Lytechinus pictus: one gene and its partner. The protein of the gene in region 1 interacts with the protein of each later gene in a pairwise test. Links are inferred from orthologs where the notes say so. Each region holds a gene or a part of one and is shown in the gene's direction. Other genes may lie near its edges.

Region 1 (10,376 bases):
AAAAAGAAAGGAAGATAAAAAGGAAGAAGAAAGGAAGGAATAAAAAAGATAACAAATAAACTGAACAGCTAAAACAAGAAATATCAAAACCTATATCGAACAGTAAAAAGTTGCAGTTTTACTATGGAAAATACACAAATTTTAAACTTACTCCCATGCGATTTTGTTTAGAAAAACTTGATAACCCCAAAAAAAGTTTTTTTCGCACCAAAATGAAGGAGATTTAGGTAAAATCTCTCCTTTATAATTAGAACTCAATTAAAAAACATCTTTGATGTGACTCTATACACCCCTGCTTCCAAGGGCGAACGGGATTTATTCATTACCCTTCACAATGCAATAATGCAGTAATTCAAAAGTTACCGTTTCAAGTCAGTATATCACTTATTTTCATCTCGCTCCTCGATCGCATCGCTTGTTTAGTTTAAGCCCCTTTCACAATTGACGTACGACCTGTTTACGACCGCCTGCAACAGTTTTTTCTTGTTGTTGCACGATCGATCTCTTGGTGTCTTGCGAGCACTCGCAGTGGTTGTAGACGAACGCACGAATTTGAGGTGGTCGGAGGTGGTCGTGACTGGTCGCATTTGAATTTGAACATGTTCAAAATCCAAACGCGATCAAATACGATTGATTTACTCGCATCAGGTCGTACCATCGGTCGGGCGATCATCGTGTGAGTGTTGTTCAACGTTGTACGACTTGGTGCGAGAGGTGACACAACTACGTATAGTCGCATTTAGTCGACTGGAGGTCGTACAACACTTGCACATGCGCTAGATACCTACAGAGACCAGTCTTGCGACTGGTTGCGATAATATAAGACTGTTGCAAGACCGATCGAAATTACGGCTTACAACATTCCACTACCGTTGCATTCGCATGTATGCGACCGTACAGCCCCTTTCACAATTGACATCCGACCAGTTTACGACCGCCTGCAACAGTTTTTTCCTGCTGTTGCACGATCGATCTCTTTGTGACTTGCGAGCACTCGCAGTCGTTGTAGACGGTCGCACGAACTCAAGGTGGTCGTGACTGGTCACATCTGAACTTTGAACATGTTCAAAATCCGAACGCGATCAAATACGACCGATTCACTCGCATCAGCTCGTATCCGGGGTCGTACCATCGGTCGGGCGATCATCGTGGGAGTGTTGTTCAACGTTGCACGACTTGGTGCGACAGGTGGCACAACTAAGTAGTCGCATTTACTCGACTGGAGGTCGTACAACACTTGCACATGTGCTAGCGACCTACATGTACAGAGACCTGTCTTGCGACTGGGTGCGATAATATGATGGGCCATAAGACTGTTGCAAGACCGATCGCAACGGCTTACAACATTGCACTACCGTTGTGTACGACCGTTCCCCTCGCAATCCCTCGTGCAATTACACTCGCATGTGATCGCACGAGCACAATAGGATCATAAGCGACTTACTCGTGCAACGGGTTTTACTGGTTGTTTTTGTTGTACGACAGCTGTTGCAACTGTGAAAGCCTCTGTGCGATATTATGAGATGACTGGCGATTGATGCCTGTTGCAGCCTGTCGCACGACCAAAAGGTCGCAAGTGGTCGTACGTCAATTGTGAAAGGGGCTTAAATGACCATCCTGTTCATTGTTTCAAAAAGTGGCTTAGAATCCGAGCTTTTAGGCCAGAATATCATTTTTTTTGGTCGCTCTTCGCGCTCGCATCAATAGTTTAGATAGATACCAATTCTATTTCTGTTCACAAAAAGTGCTTTACATTACGTCAAACCCCCGTTTGGAGAAAGACCGCAGTTCAGATTGCAAACTGCGGTTCTATACCCCTTTTTCTGTTTGGAATTTGAAAAAATCATGTCCAAGCGCCGATCAACCCTGATTGGCCAGGTAATCCCGCTGTCTCAATTTCTCCTCCACAGGCCAGATTATGAGCGTTGAGCCAAGGACGAAATGATAAACAACAGCTGTGCTATTACGTAAGACTTCTCTGCCTGTAGTAGGACCTTCGGAATGAAATTATTGTATTCGATATTTAATCACGTTTTCAAAGGCATATTGTATTCAGAAATCCAATGTTAGCCCATTTTCAATTTCGAACGAAGAAAATCGACCTCGAAATTAGGAAAGTAGGGGGATAAAATGACGACATGGTTTGCAGGGATGCTACCGCGCTCACACATTGCCCATAGAGCTCTATGCATAGAGCTATTATGCTCTATGCACTGCCATATATCCATTTTGTGTGGCCCCCTACTGTGACTGTATATGCCGGGCTGTTGTTATCTTCGGACCGAGGTCAAGACACAGGTGTTTTGATACTGCTTGGGGCAGTAAGGGTTTGTTGTAGCTTGGAGAAGAGAATTGATGCGGAGGGAAATAGGGGTATAGTGTTATCAAATGGAGGTTTTTCGTCATGGAATCTTAAGGTTTTGGTCGGACTATCTAAAATTTTAAGCTCGCGCTTCGCTCTCGCATAAAATGTTTAGTTAGGTAGTAGTTCTGTTCATGATTACCCAAAGTGCTTAGAATGTCAAAATGTTAGGTCAAAATATCAAAAAATTTCAGCTCGCGCTTCGCGCTCGCATAAAATGTTTAGTTAGATAGCCATTCTGTTCATTATTATCAAAAGCGCTTAGAATGTCCAAATACCCAAAATTTCAGCTTTCGCTTCGCACTCACATCAATTGTTTAGATGCTTTAGAATCTTAAGGTTTGGTTCGGCATATCAAAAATTTTCATCTCGTGCTTTGCGCTCGCATGAAATGTTTAAACAGATAGCCATCTTGTTGATGGTCACAAAAGTGCTTAGAATGTCCAGTTTTGGCTTGGAATTTTTCAGCTCGCGCTACGCGCTCGCATAAGTTTAGTAAGATGTTCATGAATACCAAAAGTGCTTACAACGTCTAGATTCTAGGTCAGAATATCAAAAATTTTCTGCTCGCGCTTCGCGCTCGCATCAGTTGTTTAAATAGGTCTACCCATCCTACTCATGGTCATTAGATTGTGCAGTCTTGTGTTAATTGGAATAACAAAAAATTTCAGCTCGCTCTACGCGTTCGCATAAAATGTCTAGTTAAATACCCTTCCTGCTTGATGAACCAAAGTGCTTAGAGTGTCAAATTTTAGGTCAGAATAACAATTTTTTCAACTCGCATAAAATGTTTGTTTAGAATTAGATACCCATCTTGTTCAATATTCATGTTCAAGGGGGCCCCATTTTTCGAAAAGTACACAAGGGCGCCAACCCGGGCGCCAAAATCAGGTAGGGCCCACGGGGTGCAAAATCCTGTATTGCGCCTGCCGTGTTAGATATCTCATCTTGTTTATAAGAAACTAAGATGTAGTTAAAACTTCAGACTATAGTGTGGACTACCCCGTTAACAAAAAATATAAACAAAATCAGCTTTTAGCAGCCGACTGGGAAAATGTAGGTGAAAATATTTTTTCCGTCCCCCCTAAATTGTTATGCTTCCACTGCCAATTCCCCCCCCCCCCCGGCCACCTACCCCTGATGCGCCCCTGTTCGGATTGATTTGACTCTATTCTCTGCAATAATACCCCAAATAATACACTATATTGTGTATATCTCGAATCATGTTCTTTTGCATGTTGAGTAAGCCTATCCCATTCAGGAAATTTAAAATGCATTTTACATTTATTTGGAAAGTCATTATAAAGTTCTCAACGTAGAGGGCGACATACGACACTAGCAAATTATACAGCAAAGGCCCAAGTTCAACGTATGTTGACTTTGTTGTTTTTTTTACGTTGATCTCGTATCTTTTTCCCCCTTCATAGAGTAAAATACAGATGTTTGACGATGAATGTCGTATTGGCTGTGAAGCAGTATGTTGCGAAAATGATAGAGGAAAGTGGTCCTGGCATGAAGGTACTCCTTATGGACAAAGAAACGGTAAGATTCTTCAAATTTATGCTGATATTGAATGCGTTGTCCCACACGCGCACTATTGTGTTGGGTGAGTTAGTAAGATGTTGAAATGTATTTTTCGATTTGTTAAACATTATAAATTAGAAAAAAAATTGTTGTACACCCATAAGCAAGACAACCATTTGTAACCACTCACTTTTGTTGATTTTTGGCAAGAGTTCCGGCCTTATCCTGAAATAAATCACCTCTCTTCTCGTGTGTGTCGGACTCGGAGAGTCGGAGTGTGTGCACTCGACACTCGTTGTGTACAAAGTCAATGGGAGAGGAAAGAAGTCCCCGCTGCTGACGAAATAAATGGCAGTGAATGGAGTGGTGACTTAAACCAGGATAATGTCAGAGCTCCATATGCACCCCCACTAAATAAAATTGAAAATAAAAACCTGGAAAAGGTTCATGATAATATTTTTTTAATAGGGTGACTGCACAAAAAAATTCACACAGCCAAAATTAATGGTCATGGTTTTGAGGGAAAAATCAAAGTTCAAATCAATGCAATTCTGACATATGATCCCGTTATCCAAATTTAATTATTTTGGTATCAAATTAAAGAGAATAAAATGCTCCAAATCTATTTTACACTTGGTTACTACCATCATTTTAATGTGGCATTAAAAAAGGAAGTTCAATCAAAGTCTTGTATTTTTGTGAATAAATGTACCATATTTTTGTAAACTAGCGGGTTTCGTGGTATTGATAATGGCAAATTCAATGGAAATACTCATTTTTCACCTTTCTTTTAGGATCAAGTGTCAGATTTGATTTAAAAATACCCTTCCCCCACTACTCCAGAAAGCCCAATGCAAAACTGCACATAAAGTATTAACCCAAGGAGCCCAGGACTCGTCTGTGTATTACTAGGCAGACATGGGTACTCTCCAAAATGGGGTAGAATGGGGTCGCAATTGCACTCCAAATAAAAGGGGAAAAAATCAATTACCTCGATTTTATGGATGAAGGTCTATTGTGACACATCGAGGCACAAACCTCGCTAGACCAAAAGCTTCAGTCTCTGTATTTTGTTTGTTCCGCTGAACTACGTTGGCTCCACTCACCATACATAGACTGAAGGGGATGGGGCCCCGTACCTACAGCCAACGTATAGTGAACTAGCGTTTTATAGATCGCGATTTAAAACTGTTTTTTAAGCAAAATTGAAAGTTTCATGGTTTCCATTATCAGGGAAATATAAATAAATTAAGCAATTGCATACCTTGGGCCGGAGTTATTGAAAAAAATCCTCTGGATGATTGAGAAATCTGTCATCTAAGACATTTTCACCTGACCTGACGGTTTTTCTTGCAAGTTGCCATCTTAAATGACGTCATTATCGTATTAACTTAATGTCTCGAATCGATATATCGCGATTATAACTAGTACTAGTACTAGTATAACTAGTATCGTTTATCTTCGGTTTCGTTCGCATATGGAGCAGATCGTATAATATCGAAAGCAATATCGATATCACATTCGTGATTGTTGACGTTCGTTTGTAAATATTTTATAGTTTGGCTGCCATTTTGACCATTTTTATCGTGTTCAACCCAATTAAACATCGGTAAAGTATATTTTTCATGCCTTTTTCATCTATATCGTTTAAAGTATTTAAATGTTAAAACATCAAGTTTTAAAAGTTTGTTGTTTATACATCCTTAGATTGTAAATTCGATGTGTAAAATTACATCAAACTTTGGACTGTGAATTGACAAAAGGGAGGGAATGAGAACACATGCGAGCCCACACGTACACCCTACCGTCGGTAAATGGGGATTACAGTAAAATGTCAGAAATTGTTGAATAAATCCCCAGAAACGACGGTTATTCCTGTCTAAAACCTCGCATGCTTGTGTGAGTGGGCACATACTGGACCCTCAATAAAAGGAAAAGTTAGACCTCCATGTCTCGTTCGTTCTCGTTATCCATCTTTCATTTTCCAAGTTGGAGCAAAAAGAAGACCTTGCTTGCATTTTCTAAATCCTATTCAACAAATATTACATCTGTCTATAGGAATTTTCCATCTAGATTCTATAATGGTTCTATTGCCATGATTGGATTTAATGTTAATTGGAATTTGTTTTGTAAGTTGTAGTTTTGTTGCTCTGTTAGTCATATTCATTCAAAAGAAAGCAGAAATTTGAAAATTCCAGCAAGGTAGGTACTCACATGGGTGCTAGATGGTGTTGTCACACATGTGCACATATACCCCTGTAGTCAATGCGTGAGTTGGCCCCATATGCATGTGTATATTTTTAGTGGATGGTCAAGTTTGATTTATTGGCATCTTCACATTTTCTGTTAGCCGAGATGATTGTCTATCAATGTGTGTTTCCACAGGTCCTCTGGGATTAGAACACAGTCCCAGGGCAGCATAAACATACATATAGGCTTGCCATTGGAAGTGCCTATTTTTAGCCACAGTAATGAGTGTACAGTGCATGTACATGCATTTCCAGCACATTTTATGGAGTATTTAAGCCTTATTTTTTTACTATTTACGAAATTTCCAGGTAAGTTTTGAGCAATGTCTACAAATGCTAACAAGTGGAACACCTCTGGCAGTCTTGCCTGCATTACGCAATTCGATATATCAGCAGTGCTGCCTTTGAAAACAGCTAATGAATAATTATTTACAGAAGAAAACACTAATATGATAATAAAATATTTTGTCCATTGACCCAAAATGACCTTTGACCATGATCATGTGACCTAAAACATGTGCAAAACGATCATTCATACTTGATTACCCTTATGTTGATGTTTCATAAGCTAGATCCATAAAAAAACTTTCTAAGTTATGGTGCCAATTCAACACATACATGTACATGTACTCCCAACACGGAGTTCATTGACCTTTATATGACTTTTGATCTTGGCCATGCTCCTTAAGGCCACGGCACACCTTACGACTGTTCGCGATCCGATTTTGGAACAAATCGCATTTTGCTCATTTTCTGAAAATGTGAATGGAACATACCATTTTATTTGAGGTTAAAATTGATTGAAAAAATACTAATATAACCATTTTGAAAGATTGCAAGCCTTTATTTCGGAGTAAAGGCCAAAATAGTTTTAAATCGTAGCCAATCGTACGACTGCTATGACGTCATTACGACTAGATATTAAATTCGCTTTTATTCTAAGAAGGATACTAGCATAGTCACAGATTTGAACATAGGTATTCGTACAATGATTTAGAACATTACACAGTAAGGCAGTGGCGGACCGTGACCCGGAGGAGACAAACCATTGGAGGGGAACTGTAGTGTTTGTGAATAATGCTGTGCCCCTCCAATGCTTTGTCTCCTCGGGGTCACAGTCCACCACTGCAGTAAGGTATTTCAAGTCTCAATGTTAGCATCAAATTCTACTACATTTTATTCTGAAATCGGGTCGCTGACCAATCGTAAGGTGTGCGGTCGCCTTTAAATGCACAGAGGGTATTCAGGGATACATTACTGCTCTTATGTCCAAGTTTCATGAACTAGATCCATAAACTTTTAAAGTTACATACATGTATGATGACAATTCCACAAATACCCCCAACGTTACCAAAGTTTGTTGACTCTAAATGACCTTTGACCTTGGTCATGTGACCTGAAACTCGCACATGATATTCAGGGATACATGGTTGCTCTTATGTCCAAGTTTCATGAACTAGGTCCTTATACTTTTTAAGTTTTGCTGTCATTTCAAAAACTTAACCTTGGTTAAGATTTCAATGTTGATGCCGTCGCCGACTATAGTCTTGCTCTGCTATGCAAACAAGACAATAAAGAATATTTTAAGGTAAGGCTTTTTTAGTAGAAATGCTGATTTTTTTTTTGTAGGAGTGCCTATACTAGCTATTTTTTTCTAAAATATTATAAAAAAAGTGTTGTTAAACAAATTGATCAAAACAATGATCATCAGTGCACAACAATAACATGGGATAACAGATTCCATCAGGAGTAAGATGTCATGAATAATTCCTTGACTAGCTTTTCACTTTTTTCTCTCATTTTATTTCAAATGTAGATCAGCTTTGTAACCATGGTGTATGCTCAGTCTGAAATCCTACAGAAAGAAGTCTATCTTTTTGAAAGATTAGACTCTGCGAACAGGGAGATCATGAAACATCTACGCTGCATATGCTTCATTAGACCAAAGAGGGTAAGAACAAAATAAGTACACCAATTTGTGGAAGATGCTGCCTAATAAAACAATTCTTTTTTTTAATGAGTTATGGTTTCTATGTGTACATATGGGCTAGTAAAATACACCTTTCCCCATACATGTATGTAGCAGAAAGATTTGAGGGGGTACATTATATTACTGTAGAAAAAAATGAAAGTATATTATTGACAAATAGTATTAAATGTTGGATGAATAACTTGTCTTGTATTATTAGTTTTATTCCAATTTTTGTTTTAAAATCTTATATTATTTCTTCCTCAGTATATATAAAATAGGAATATAATGAATAACGCAAAATAATTAACATAATTGCATCAGAATTCATAAAAAAAAAAAATTATTCGAAAAGTAAACTAAGAATCAATCTGTACATATTTATAATCACAAAGGAATTCGTAATACAAAATAAAATCTTCTACAACATCTAGAGATCTCTGAATATTTATAAACATACTTAAATCTCAAGTTGAACTTGATTTTTTTCCCTTTACAATACAATTAAATCAAGTAATTGAGGAAGTTATGATAAAAAACACACACACAAAAGAAAACACACTCTCCATCACGCTTCATCCATTAAACACCCCCTTCCCCGATAAACAAAGCATAAGAAGAAGGAAAAGGAGAGCGAGAAAGAAAAAAAAACAAGCAAACTGGCAAAACAACAAAAACAAACAAATGGACCTCATCTAGGGAGTATTGCTGGGGTAGAGGGCTGTGAGGTTGATTCTTCAAAATGTTCCCATTTCCTGAGGTGAAATGACAAAGTTCCCCTTTCCAGTGCAAGCCTTTTCTCTTCTTTTCTATTTAATTTCAATTAATCTATCTTTAATTTTATTTACATTTGCAGGTACCCCCTTTTCGCTATCATGGAAGATCATAAATTTAATCAAAATTATAATATGGTTTCATAATTCTGTTTTCATGTTAGTCCCATTTATTCCAATAAGAATTTGTTTCCAAAATATTTCCTTTAAAAAGGGTAAGTTTAATTTATCAGCACATTGAAAAAAATACATGTTGATATGTTTCGTCTAAAATATTGCAATATTAACACAAATCATTGACCTGAAGTTTGAATCTGTATCTAGGCGATGGTTGTATTCTATACATTAAATTATACTGAAACTCTCTCAATTTATTATCTAATATGCACAGATAATGATAGAGACATCGTTATCAAACAAAGCTGTATTATTCTGGAAGGGATGTCTTGTGTCCTTTCAAAATAAATTAGAGTTACTAGTATTTAGATCCCATTTTATAATGTATTTTATAGTTTTTAATCATAAATATAAAATTTGTTATTAATTTTAATACTCAGTTCCATTTATCAGCGATAAATCAAATGGTATTTTGAATGTTTATTTCCTATTACATCTTTGAATTTCAATCCAGGAGAATATTGAAATGCTGTGCAATGAGTTGAGAAATCCAAAGTATGCTGTGTACTTCATCTGTAAGTACAGTCGTTTTTTAGAAGTGTTAATGACAAGTTCAAGTATTATGTATTTAATGAAAGCAAAAATGCGAACAATTAAAGAAAACAAATGCTGGTACATGTATTAACAGCAAAATTAAACCATGCCAGATGCCACACTGTTATAATATGAAAAGTGACGTACACGGTTTGACAATATTCTGTGATTTTTTATTGTCTGTAATAGTTCTTGTGAATGCTCTCATGGTACCTTGAATTCACCCTTGAATGCACCATTAACTGCAAAAAAAAAAAAAAAAATGAACATGCAAAATTTTCCATACTCTTTCAAGCAAAGTGGCAAGGTTTGAAACTTTGGATTTGTTTCATGTACATTCAAGTCCTTAAATCTTCTTTGCCAAATGATTAGGTATAGATTTGATGATACGTAACAGAAAAATTTTAATTCGATAAAGGTATATTGTACTATTATATGATCCAAATATTGCATCCTTGGTAAGAAACCGGGATCTATTTAAGTAGTTTAGTTCGAGAGCTGATGCTGTTTAGAATGACTGGAAATTTGGTTTTATAAAGATCAGACAATTAGATAGTTTGGGGTCAAAAGGATAGATGCTAAATATCACAGTGGAAGAGATGTACTCATGTATTCCAATACTAGAGTACTTGTATGTTGAATTGAATGTTTTTGTGTTTATATTTTATTTACCAGACTTCAGTAATGTTGTCAGCAAAAGTGATGTTAAATTGCTTGCAGAAGCAGATGAACAAGAAGTGGTTCGGGAAGTACAGGTGAGTAATCATCAAAGTGAACTCTCCATATAA
Region 2 (10,376 bases), on another chromosome or scaffold:
AATGAGGAAACTGATGACGCCACCCACTCACTATTTCTGTAGTATTATATGAAATATTAAATATGATATTTTCCAATTTTCTCCTCATTGTCAAGTGAAACAATGATTAATTCCTCCCTGAACATGTGGAATATATGGTTCATTCACGTTGGCCCTTATTGTAAGATCTGTGAAAAATGAAATATTGTATACAGTAATTCAACAAAAAAAAAAGAAATTGCGAGGGACATCATCAACTGTATCATTTGCATGCAAATGAGTTGTGCATATCACTGTTTTGTGAAAAATAAGCGAAACTTTAAAATATCACAACTTTCTTATTTTACATCCGATTTTGATGAAATTTCCAGCGTTATGCTAGTTTGATTTTTCTCTATTCAAATCAACATTTTTCTTTGACCTTTAAATAAAATATTAATTCATTTTATGTAACAAAAATAAGGTTATAACACCCTTCAACTACGACTAATTCAAAAAAGGTAAACGATTATTTTTAAATTTAGATTATATATCGTTACTTTCTTCAAATTGTTAAAGTCATTCATGCCTGAATGATCGAGGAATCTTCTGAGGATACCAGGTGAAAGATTAGATATTCTGAGCTTTACAATGATTGCCGTCATCATTTTGTATAGCCACAAGAACTTACAGAATGAATAAAAATAAATGAAATGTACGAGCCTGTATCAACATAAGACCTAGGCCTACGCACGCCTCTCAAATAACCCCCAAAAATATAATAAATAAATATATAGATAATAAGTAAATAAGTAAATAAATGAACTTCCATACATAAAAAGAATTAAAAACGAATGATACCTCTGACTCTCTATATCACAAAAGAAAAAAAATAATAAATAAATTAAATGATTAATGAATGAATATAAATACATTACTTAATCAATTAAAATAGATTGATAAATAAATGAATGAACTTCCACACATAAAAATAATTAAAAACGAATGATACCTCTGACTCTACATCACAAAAGACAAAAAACTGAAAACAAATAAATTAAATGATTAATGAATGAATATGATTAATCAATATAAATACATTAATTAATCAATTAAAATAGATTGAAATAAGTGAACTTCCACACATAGAAATAATTAAAAATGAATGATACCTCTTAATTACTCTCTATATCACAAAAGAAAAAAAAAACTGACAACAAATAAATTAAATGATTTATTAATCAATTAAAATAGATTGAAATAAATGATAACTCTGACTCTCTATATCACAAAAGAAAAAAAACTGAAACAAATAAATCAAATTATGAATAAAATACATTAATTAATCAATAGCCCCACACATGTGCGAATGCTGGGAAAAGCGCATTGGACGGGGCCGGTTTCGCGACTATCTTAGGATGCAAGCTTAATAATATACTTGTGATATAGGCCCCGCTACTGTGTTGGAGTGTCTGAAGTGCCGTAGTGCAGGGCCTATATAACGGTTATAGTATTATACTCGTGAAACAGGCCCCGCGAACGGACATTCTAAGCCATTCAACACAGCAGCGGGGCCTATATCACGAGTATATATAGTGAGCTGAAGTTAGCAACCTAGATATTGAGGTATGATCGATTACAATTTTTTTCTCGAGCGGGGCCTATATCACGAGTATGCCCTAGAATTTAGTAGATTTTTAAAATATAAGTCTAGGCCCTAATGTTAGCATTTTTAGGGCAGGCCGCATTTAGACTTATATAGTCATTGTTAGTACTTTTTTTAGTAGATCTACATGATAGCCTTGACGTCTGTTTCGAGCACTCATTCAATGAACAAGGTTATGATATAACCTTGTTCTCTGTTTGTATCTCCATGTGTGGTAAAATAAGGGTGGCAATGTTTGGCTTATTTTCTCTTTTTGTTTGGGACAAATGCTTGATTTTTTTACACTGACAGTTTTTATTACACCTATTCATCATACAAATTGGCTCTTAAGTAAATTTGATTCTTTAAATTGTTTTTTTCTTAATTTAGAATAGAGATTGAAAAATGAAAATTTTCTTGCCATATTACTTTCCACCAATAGAGGGCGTACACAAAAATATGCCCAAAATTCATGTTTTTGAGTGCTCTGGTGAATACAAAAATTATTCCCAAGTTACTAATGAAAAAGAAATTGCAACTGTAAGGAAATTAGTAATTTTGGTCACAAAAGTGATATTTTAATGATTTTTTTAAGTGTGTGCTCTGTACAGCATTGGCATACCATAGTCCTACATGTACATTCCCCACAGGCAGGATGGTTGCAGTGAGCTTGTGGTTTCGAGGAGTTTTTGAACATTAAAAAAAAAAAATCTCCCCGTACACAGACGGCCCGCGATCGTGCAGCCACCATTAGGGGGTTAACAATGCAAAATCCCCCCGACGGGGCTCGTCGATATTTGTCTTTATTTCATAAAAATATAGATCTATATAAACAACTGGACCAAAATAAAGATAATTATTCCATTTTGGCCGAAAATGCACCAAAATGGGAAAAAAAATTAAAAGGTAAAAAACAGTGACTTAGATTTACTTTGGCTGTCGCGCAACTCCCACTTCCTTGTTTTATCCGAACTTAATAACATATGGCCATTGAGTCCCTGTACAGATCGAGTTAGAACTTTGGTCTCTGTAATTGGTGGATGGAGCCAACGGAGTTCAGCAGAACAACCAATAAAACAGAGACCGAAGCTTTTGGTATTATCTAGGCCTAGATCCTATTCTACTAGATTAACCCCCGGGGGAGGGGGGGGGGGCAGTCAAATAGACTAGATCTATATTGCTGTACACATGTGTGACAAAAAAAAGTGTTTAAAGGGGTGTTTTTCAGGTTTGGACACGGGCCGCACGTGCACTCGTTAAGTATAATAAACACTGATTTTCAAGAAAGGGTGGTTTTGAAAGACTGGTCAATTGTCAATGTAGGGTAGAAAAAATTTTCTTCCAAAGCTTTTTTTAAAGCTAGCCAAGCGTGTTTAGGGTATTTTTTTCCCCAAGCTTTTTCCGCGGGGTCATATTCTGGCGACAAATTGTTTAAGTGCCAAAGTGTGTAAATAAAGCCCGCAAAAAACTTGTTTAGGGGGGTTATTTTGCACACAGAGAAAAACTTGTTTAGGTCCGTGTTTAGGGAAATAATTTTGGTCATGCATGTGTACAGCAATACATTTGACTGGCCCCCCTGGGGATTAACCTTGTTTGTTAGTCAAATTGTTGTGTAAAAAAGAAAGAAGAAAAAAAATACAAATGTACATCTAGGGCCAGGCCCTAGATCTAGATGATAGATCTAGGCCTATAACTTAGATGAAGCCAATAGAGCAAACCACCAACATTACGAGTCCTATGGGAGCCTTCTGTTTGTGTAGGAGGAGAACTGAGAACAATCAGAAAATGTTTTTAAAAATCTCCTCTGTGAAAGAGCAGATTTCTCAGTCTAATCTTTGCCAAGCCTAGACCCTGCATGGTTACTTCCTCAAAGAAATATTGATTTTGAATAATTTTCCTTGATAAAAGCCAAGATGATGGCATCACTATTGGCAATTTTTTCTTGCAATGTCAAAAAAAACCATTTTGGTCTAAGCAGCAAGCACTTGGAGTACAAGGCATGTATATTGTTTGTTTATGAAGGTCTGTAAAGGAGTACTATACTAACATAGATTTTTGGGTGTCGCCAGCTCATTGTTGTTCTTTTTCTTCATAGCCCCCGATTTTAGTTATTCTTTTTGACAGGGATAGGGAAAGCTCAAGCCTACAGGTTCAGGGTCTACTGCATTTTACATATCTATCCAGTACTTTTTCTTTTAAAGTTGAAGTAAATGCACAATGATATATGCATCTTGCTTAAAGTAACCAAGACTTGTGTTCTTTATTCTTGCTTTACAGTTAAGATGGCAGGCATGGCAGCAACTGATGATAGCCCAATTTATGAGGGATTCCTGTGTCCAATGTGCCTTCAAAACTTTGATTCTGTTTATCAACTCCAATCTCATGTGGAAAGTATGTTTGATGAAAATAATTTCACCTTTGAATAATATAATTCAAAGACTTCATGAAAGCCATCTTGGACCTCAAGGTTACAAATGAAGGAAAACAAAGAAGAAAGAAAGAACATACCAGTTTTACATACAGTTGTAGTAATATAAATTACGTGTATATTTTAATTTGCATATTTTTCAAACTGTCATTGAGAGTTGCAGTTGAAAGAAAAATGTAGTTGTTTCTGATAGACTGTTAATTGTCCTGTAAATCTGAAGTATTTTACAAATAATTTTGAATATTCATGAAGACAAAAGAAAATACATCATAAAATATCTTGATCAATACATTGATATTCTATTTTCCAAGACCATCCATTACTATAATTTACCAAATAATCTTTTGAGGGAAAAAATCCCTTCTTTTGACTTGTCTAATTATTCATAAACTTATTTGGAGATTATTTTGTATTTTGAACTATCATGATTAATTATTTTGATTTTTTTTGTGTGTAGCTGCTCATGGTAGTGAAGATAAGGTTGTACTAAGTAAGTTGAAAGGATTCTTTGGGAAAGCTAAGAATCTCATCACCAGCAGATCAGAGGAACAGTTCAGTGATGTCTCCAGAAATGAGCAAGGAGAAGGATCTCCCAAGAAATTACAACTGCTTGGCTCAGACCCTTTTACTTGGGATAATCCAGAGCTAGGTATTTGTTTTTTCATTATTACACAGTTGGATACAGTCAGACTGCAGGTCCCAAGAAAGTGGCTTCTTTCATCCAAGTGATATTCATGACTTGAGATGTTTTGCATATTTAATGAGCTTGATGCGGACCAAAACACCTCTTTTCATTCGGTCATTGCTGCTCTAATTGTGCATCAAATTTCATGAATTTGGTACCATTGTAAAGAAGAAGAATCATTCTTTCAGGTCATGTGTTTGGATTTATTCAAAGATTTTGTAATATAGGTTAAAATTTTGATCTAAAATATGCTACAAAAAAAAATTTTCACCTGACAAAAGCTGCTATTTTCACACTTTATTTTTGTTTGAGACAAAATGATTTTTATATCATGATAAAGCTGAATATGTATGCTTTGAAATGATATAGGTTTCAAAATAAGAACTGGTTTAATTGGGTCAAGATCACACTTTTCATTTGCCAAGTACATAAAGCAGCTTGAAAACAAGAATACTGCACTCTGATTGGTCAAAGAGACCACACAATGGCAAATTCCAACGGTTCCAGTGCCTGGGTTTGTGGGAAGGTCACACTTCCCATGTGGTAATCTCCTCAAATACCCCGCGCCTGTTGTTCTGTAACCTTATCCAGCCAATCAGAACTATGGATTTCATGCAAGTACAAAATTTCAGAAATCTCGTCTTGTACCTTGGTGGTACAATCCAAGTCTGCGGTCAGCCATCACCATCCGTGCCCAGATCTCTTGTCAAGTCTATCTGACCCCCGGAGGGGCCACTTCCATTGACGAGTGGATACCATGCGCGACCACGGGGTCTCGAAAAGCACCCTTAACACGTATTTTCCATATTCTGAAAATGCACCCCTTAACAAGTTTTGGCGTTTGAAACCCTACCCTTAACAAGTATTGGAAACAAATACTATTGGCAAGTATTCCCAGAATTGAGCCCCTAAACAAGTACAGCGATGTATTTTCCATATTCTGAAAATGCACCCCTTAACAAGTATTGGAAACAAATACTATTGGCAAGTATTCCCTGAAATGAACCCCTAAACAAGTACAGCGATATTTTATTGTTATGTCACGGGTCCGTCGGTCGTCGGTTTTACCTTTACACACCATTATTTTGGTTTATTACGGCCCCACCTTCCACACCTCGCGCAAATCGGACTCTAAACACGTAGTGTTGGGGCAAAAAGGACATCCTTTATAAAACATTTTGATTTTGTTTTATCATCCCCGCATATTTGACCCTAAACACGTATATTTTTCCGACCGAAATAGATACCCTTTTTTCAATATTTTTATGTTTTTGACACCCTTATCACGTTACGTACGTAACGTGCCCCATCTTGAAAAAGACATCCTTTTTACGTGTTTTTTTGGTCGCGCATGGTATCCACTCGTCAATGTAAGTGGCCCCCCCGGGATCTGACCCAAGTCCGGCTCGCCAAGATTGGCAAAGCACCTGATGATTGCTGTCGTCTGTGCATGTCAGCCTGCGAGGATGTGGAACATCTGGTTGCTACCTGTCCAGCCCTAGCACCTGTCCGACAGAACCTTATCCAGCGGGTTAAAGCTAATCCCAACACCAAGCAGTTTGGACCATGCTTTGAATCTACCCCTGCTCTTTTTGTAGAGTCGGTCCTTTTTTACCTCCTGGGCGTATTAGCTGCAACCCAAAGCCCAATTACATACGCTTATTCTGTACTTCTTACGCAACCTCCACACAACTCGTCAAAACTTACTCAGTACTTCATGATTGCAACTTAGAGTCTTAAATGAATTGCGGCCCTTCCAACGGCGCCGTTGATCTCCGACCTTAGCGGAGGAAGAACACAAGAGAGGTGGGAAAAGTGTGATCTTGACCCGATTAAAAGGTGCCGCATATCAAGAGTGGCATTGTGAGAAAGTACAGATGTTCAGCTTTATGGTGATATAGATATCATTGAGGCTCAAAATAAAAAGTTTTGCACAATTTGCAAAAGAAAACAGAGGAAGAAAATTCAGTTTTTAGGCACATTTTCAGGCCAGAAATTTACTTATTTAACAAAATATTGTATACAAAGTAAATGACCAATATGAAAGAGTAACGTTTACTCTATCTGATCGTGTAATAATATTTCATTTAATTTGAGGTTAAAACAGGTAAATTCTTAGAGAAAGAAAATCTCACGAATCACAAGATTTTGCAAGGAGGAGGATTCAGCCACGAGATGATTTGGATGAATCTGGCCTTTTTGCTCATTAGCCTAGGGACCTGTGGTCTGACTGGATATAATTCTTACAATAGCTTGAACTGCAGCATTGACCATCACCCCAAATATCATCTACTTTGACTTTATCCACATCATCAACATCACTCTCCCCTATCCCATTCAGAGATACCATTGGATCATTATCAATATCATCCCTATCAAGCTTCATCATCATCATCAACACCAGTGCACTATCATCATCATCACCACCACCATCATTATCATCATCATTATCATCACTATCGATCATTATCATCATCATCATCATCTTCGTCGTTATCACCAATTCACCATCATCATCATCATTATCATCATCATCACCACCACCACCATCATTATCATCATCATCACCACCACCATCATTATCATCATCATCACTATCAATCATCATCATTATCATCGTCGTTATCACCACCATCATCATCATTATCATCATCATCATCATCACCACCACCATCATTATCATCACCACCACCATCATTATCATCATCATCACTATCAATCATTATCATCATCATCATCGTCGTTATCACCATCATCATCATCATCATCATCACCATCATCATCATCACCACCACCACCACCATCGTTATCATCATCATCACCACCACCATCATCATAATCATCACCACCACCATCATTATCATCAACATCACTATCAATCATCGTCGTTATCACCATCATCATCGTCATCATTATCATCATCATCATCATCACCACCACCATCATTATCATCATCATCACTATCAATCATTATCATCATCATCATCGTCGTTATCACCATCATCATTATCATCATCATCATCACCACCATCACCACCATCACTATCATCATCATCACCACCACCATCATTTTCATCATCATCACTATCAATCATCATCATTGTTATCACCATCATCATAATCATCACCACCTCCATCATTATCATCATCATCACTATCAATTATCATCATCATCATCATCGTCGTTATCACCACCATCATCATCATCATTATCATCATCATCATCATCAACACCACCATCATTATCATCATCATCATCATCATCGTCGTTATCACAATCATCATCATCATCATCATCACCACCACCACCACCATCACTATCAATCATCATTATCAATCATCATCATTGTCATCATTATCACCATCATCATCACTATTAATCATCATCGTTATCACCATCATCATCATCATCATCATCATCATCGTCGTTATCACCACCATCATCATCATCATTATCATCATCATCATCATCATCACCACCACCATCATTATCATCATCATCACCATCATTATCATCATCATCACTATCAATCATTATCATCATCATCATCATCATCATCGTCGTTATCACCATCATTATCATCATTATCATCATCATGATCACCACCACCATCACTATCATCATTATCACCACCACCACCACCATCATTTTCATCATCATCACTATCAATCATTATCATCATCATCATCGTTATCATCATCATCACCACTATCAATCATCATTATCAATCATCATCATTGTCATCATTATCACCATCATCATCACTATTAATCATCATCGTTATCACCATCATCATCATCATCATCATCACTATCAATCATCATCACCATCATCATCATCACCACCACCACCACCATCGTTATCATCATCATCACTATCAATCATTATCACCATCATCATTATCACCACCACCACCACCATCATTTTCATCATCATCACTATCAATCATTATCATCATCATCATCGTTATCACCATCATCATCATCACCACTATCAATCATCATTATCAATCATCATCATTGTCATCATTATCATCATCATTATCATCACTATCGATCATTATCATCATCATCTTCGTCGTTATCACCAATTCACCATCATCATCATCATCATCATCATCACCACCACCACCATCATTATCATCATCATCACCACCACCATCATTATCATCATCATCACTATCAATCATCATCATCATCATCGTCGTTATCACCACCATCATCATCATTATCATCATCATCATCATCACCACCACCATCATTATCATCACCACCACCATCATTATCATCATCATCACTATCAATCATTATCATCATCATCATCGTCGTTATCACCATCATCATCATCATCATCATCACCATCATCATCATCACCACCACCACCACCATCGTTATCATCATCATCACCACCACCATCATCATAATCATCACCACCACCATCATTATCATCATCATCACTATCAATCATCATCATCATCATCGTCGTTATCACCACCATCATCATCATCATTATCATCATCATCATCATCATCATCACCACCATCATCATTATCATCATCATCACTATCAATCATTATCATCATCATCATCGTCGTTATCACCATCATCATTATCATCATCATCATCACCACCATCACCACCATCACTATCATCATCATCACCACCACCATCATTTTCATCATCATCACTATCAATCATCATCATTGTTATCACCATCATCATAATCATCACCACCTCCATCATTATCATCATCATCACTATCAATTATCATCATCATCATCATCGTCGTTATCACCACCATCATCATCATCATTATCATCATCATCATCATCACCACCACCATCATTATCATCATCATCATCATCATCGTCGTTATCACCATCATCATCATCATCATCATCACCACCACCATCACTATCAATCATCATTATCAATCATCATCATTGTCATCATTATCACCATCATCATCACTATTAATCATCATCGTTATCACCATCATCATCATCATCATCATCATCATCATCACCACCACCATCATTATCATCATCATCACCATCATTATCATCATCATCACTATCAATCATTATCATCATCATCATCATCATCATCGTCGTTATCACCATCATTATCATCATTATCATCATCATGATCACCACCACCATCACTATCATCATTATCACCACCACCACCACCATCATTTTCATCATCATCACTATCAATCATTATCATCATCATCATCGTTATCATCATCATCACCACTATCAATCATCATTATCAATCATCATCATTGTCATCATTATCACCATCATCATCACTATTAATCATCATCGTTATCACCATCATCATCATCATCATCATCACTATCAATCATCATCACCATCATCATCATCACCACCACCACCACCATCGTTATCATCATCATCACTATCAATCATTATCACCATCATCATTATCACCACCACCACCACCATCATTTTCATCATCATCACTATCAATCATTATCATCATCATCATCGTTATCACCATCATCATCATCACCACTATCAATCATCATTATCAATCATCATCATTGTCATCATTATCACCATCATCATCACTATTAATCATCATTGTTATCACCATCATCATCATCATCATCACTATCAATCATCATCATCACT

What was found. The genes of interacting proteins can lie anywhere in the genome.
Region 2: the proteins of vacuolar protein sorting-associated protein 45-like (region 1) and rabenosyn-5-like interact in a two-hybrid assay, tested with the Drosophila melanogaster proteins (2 studies listed by BioGRID). The link is inferred for Lytechinus pictus from reciprocal best matches to the Drosophila melanogaster genes Vps45 and Rbsn-5.

Annotation. Positions count from the first base shown.
Region 1 is NC_087249.1:3,319,325-3,329,700, forward strand, and holds the start of vacuolar protein sorting-associated protein 45-like, read left to right. Parts: upstream 1-3,686; 5' UTR 3,687-3,811; coding exon 3,812-3,904; intron 3,905-7,951; coding exon 7,952-8,086; intron 8,087-9,508; coding exon 9,509-9,569; intron 9,570-10,263; coding exon 10,264-10,343; intron 10,344-10,376.
Region 2 is NC_087247.1:72,181,262-72,191,637, reverse strand, and holds the start of rabenosyn-5-like, read left to right. Parts: upstream 1-3,873; 5' UTR 3,874-3,885; coding exon 3,886-3,994; intron 3,995-4,488; coding exon 4,489-4,680; intron 4,681-10,376.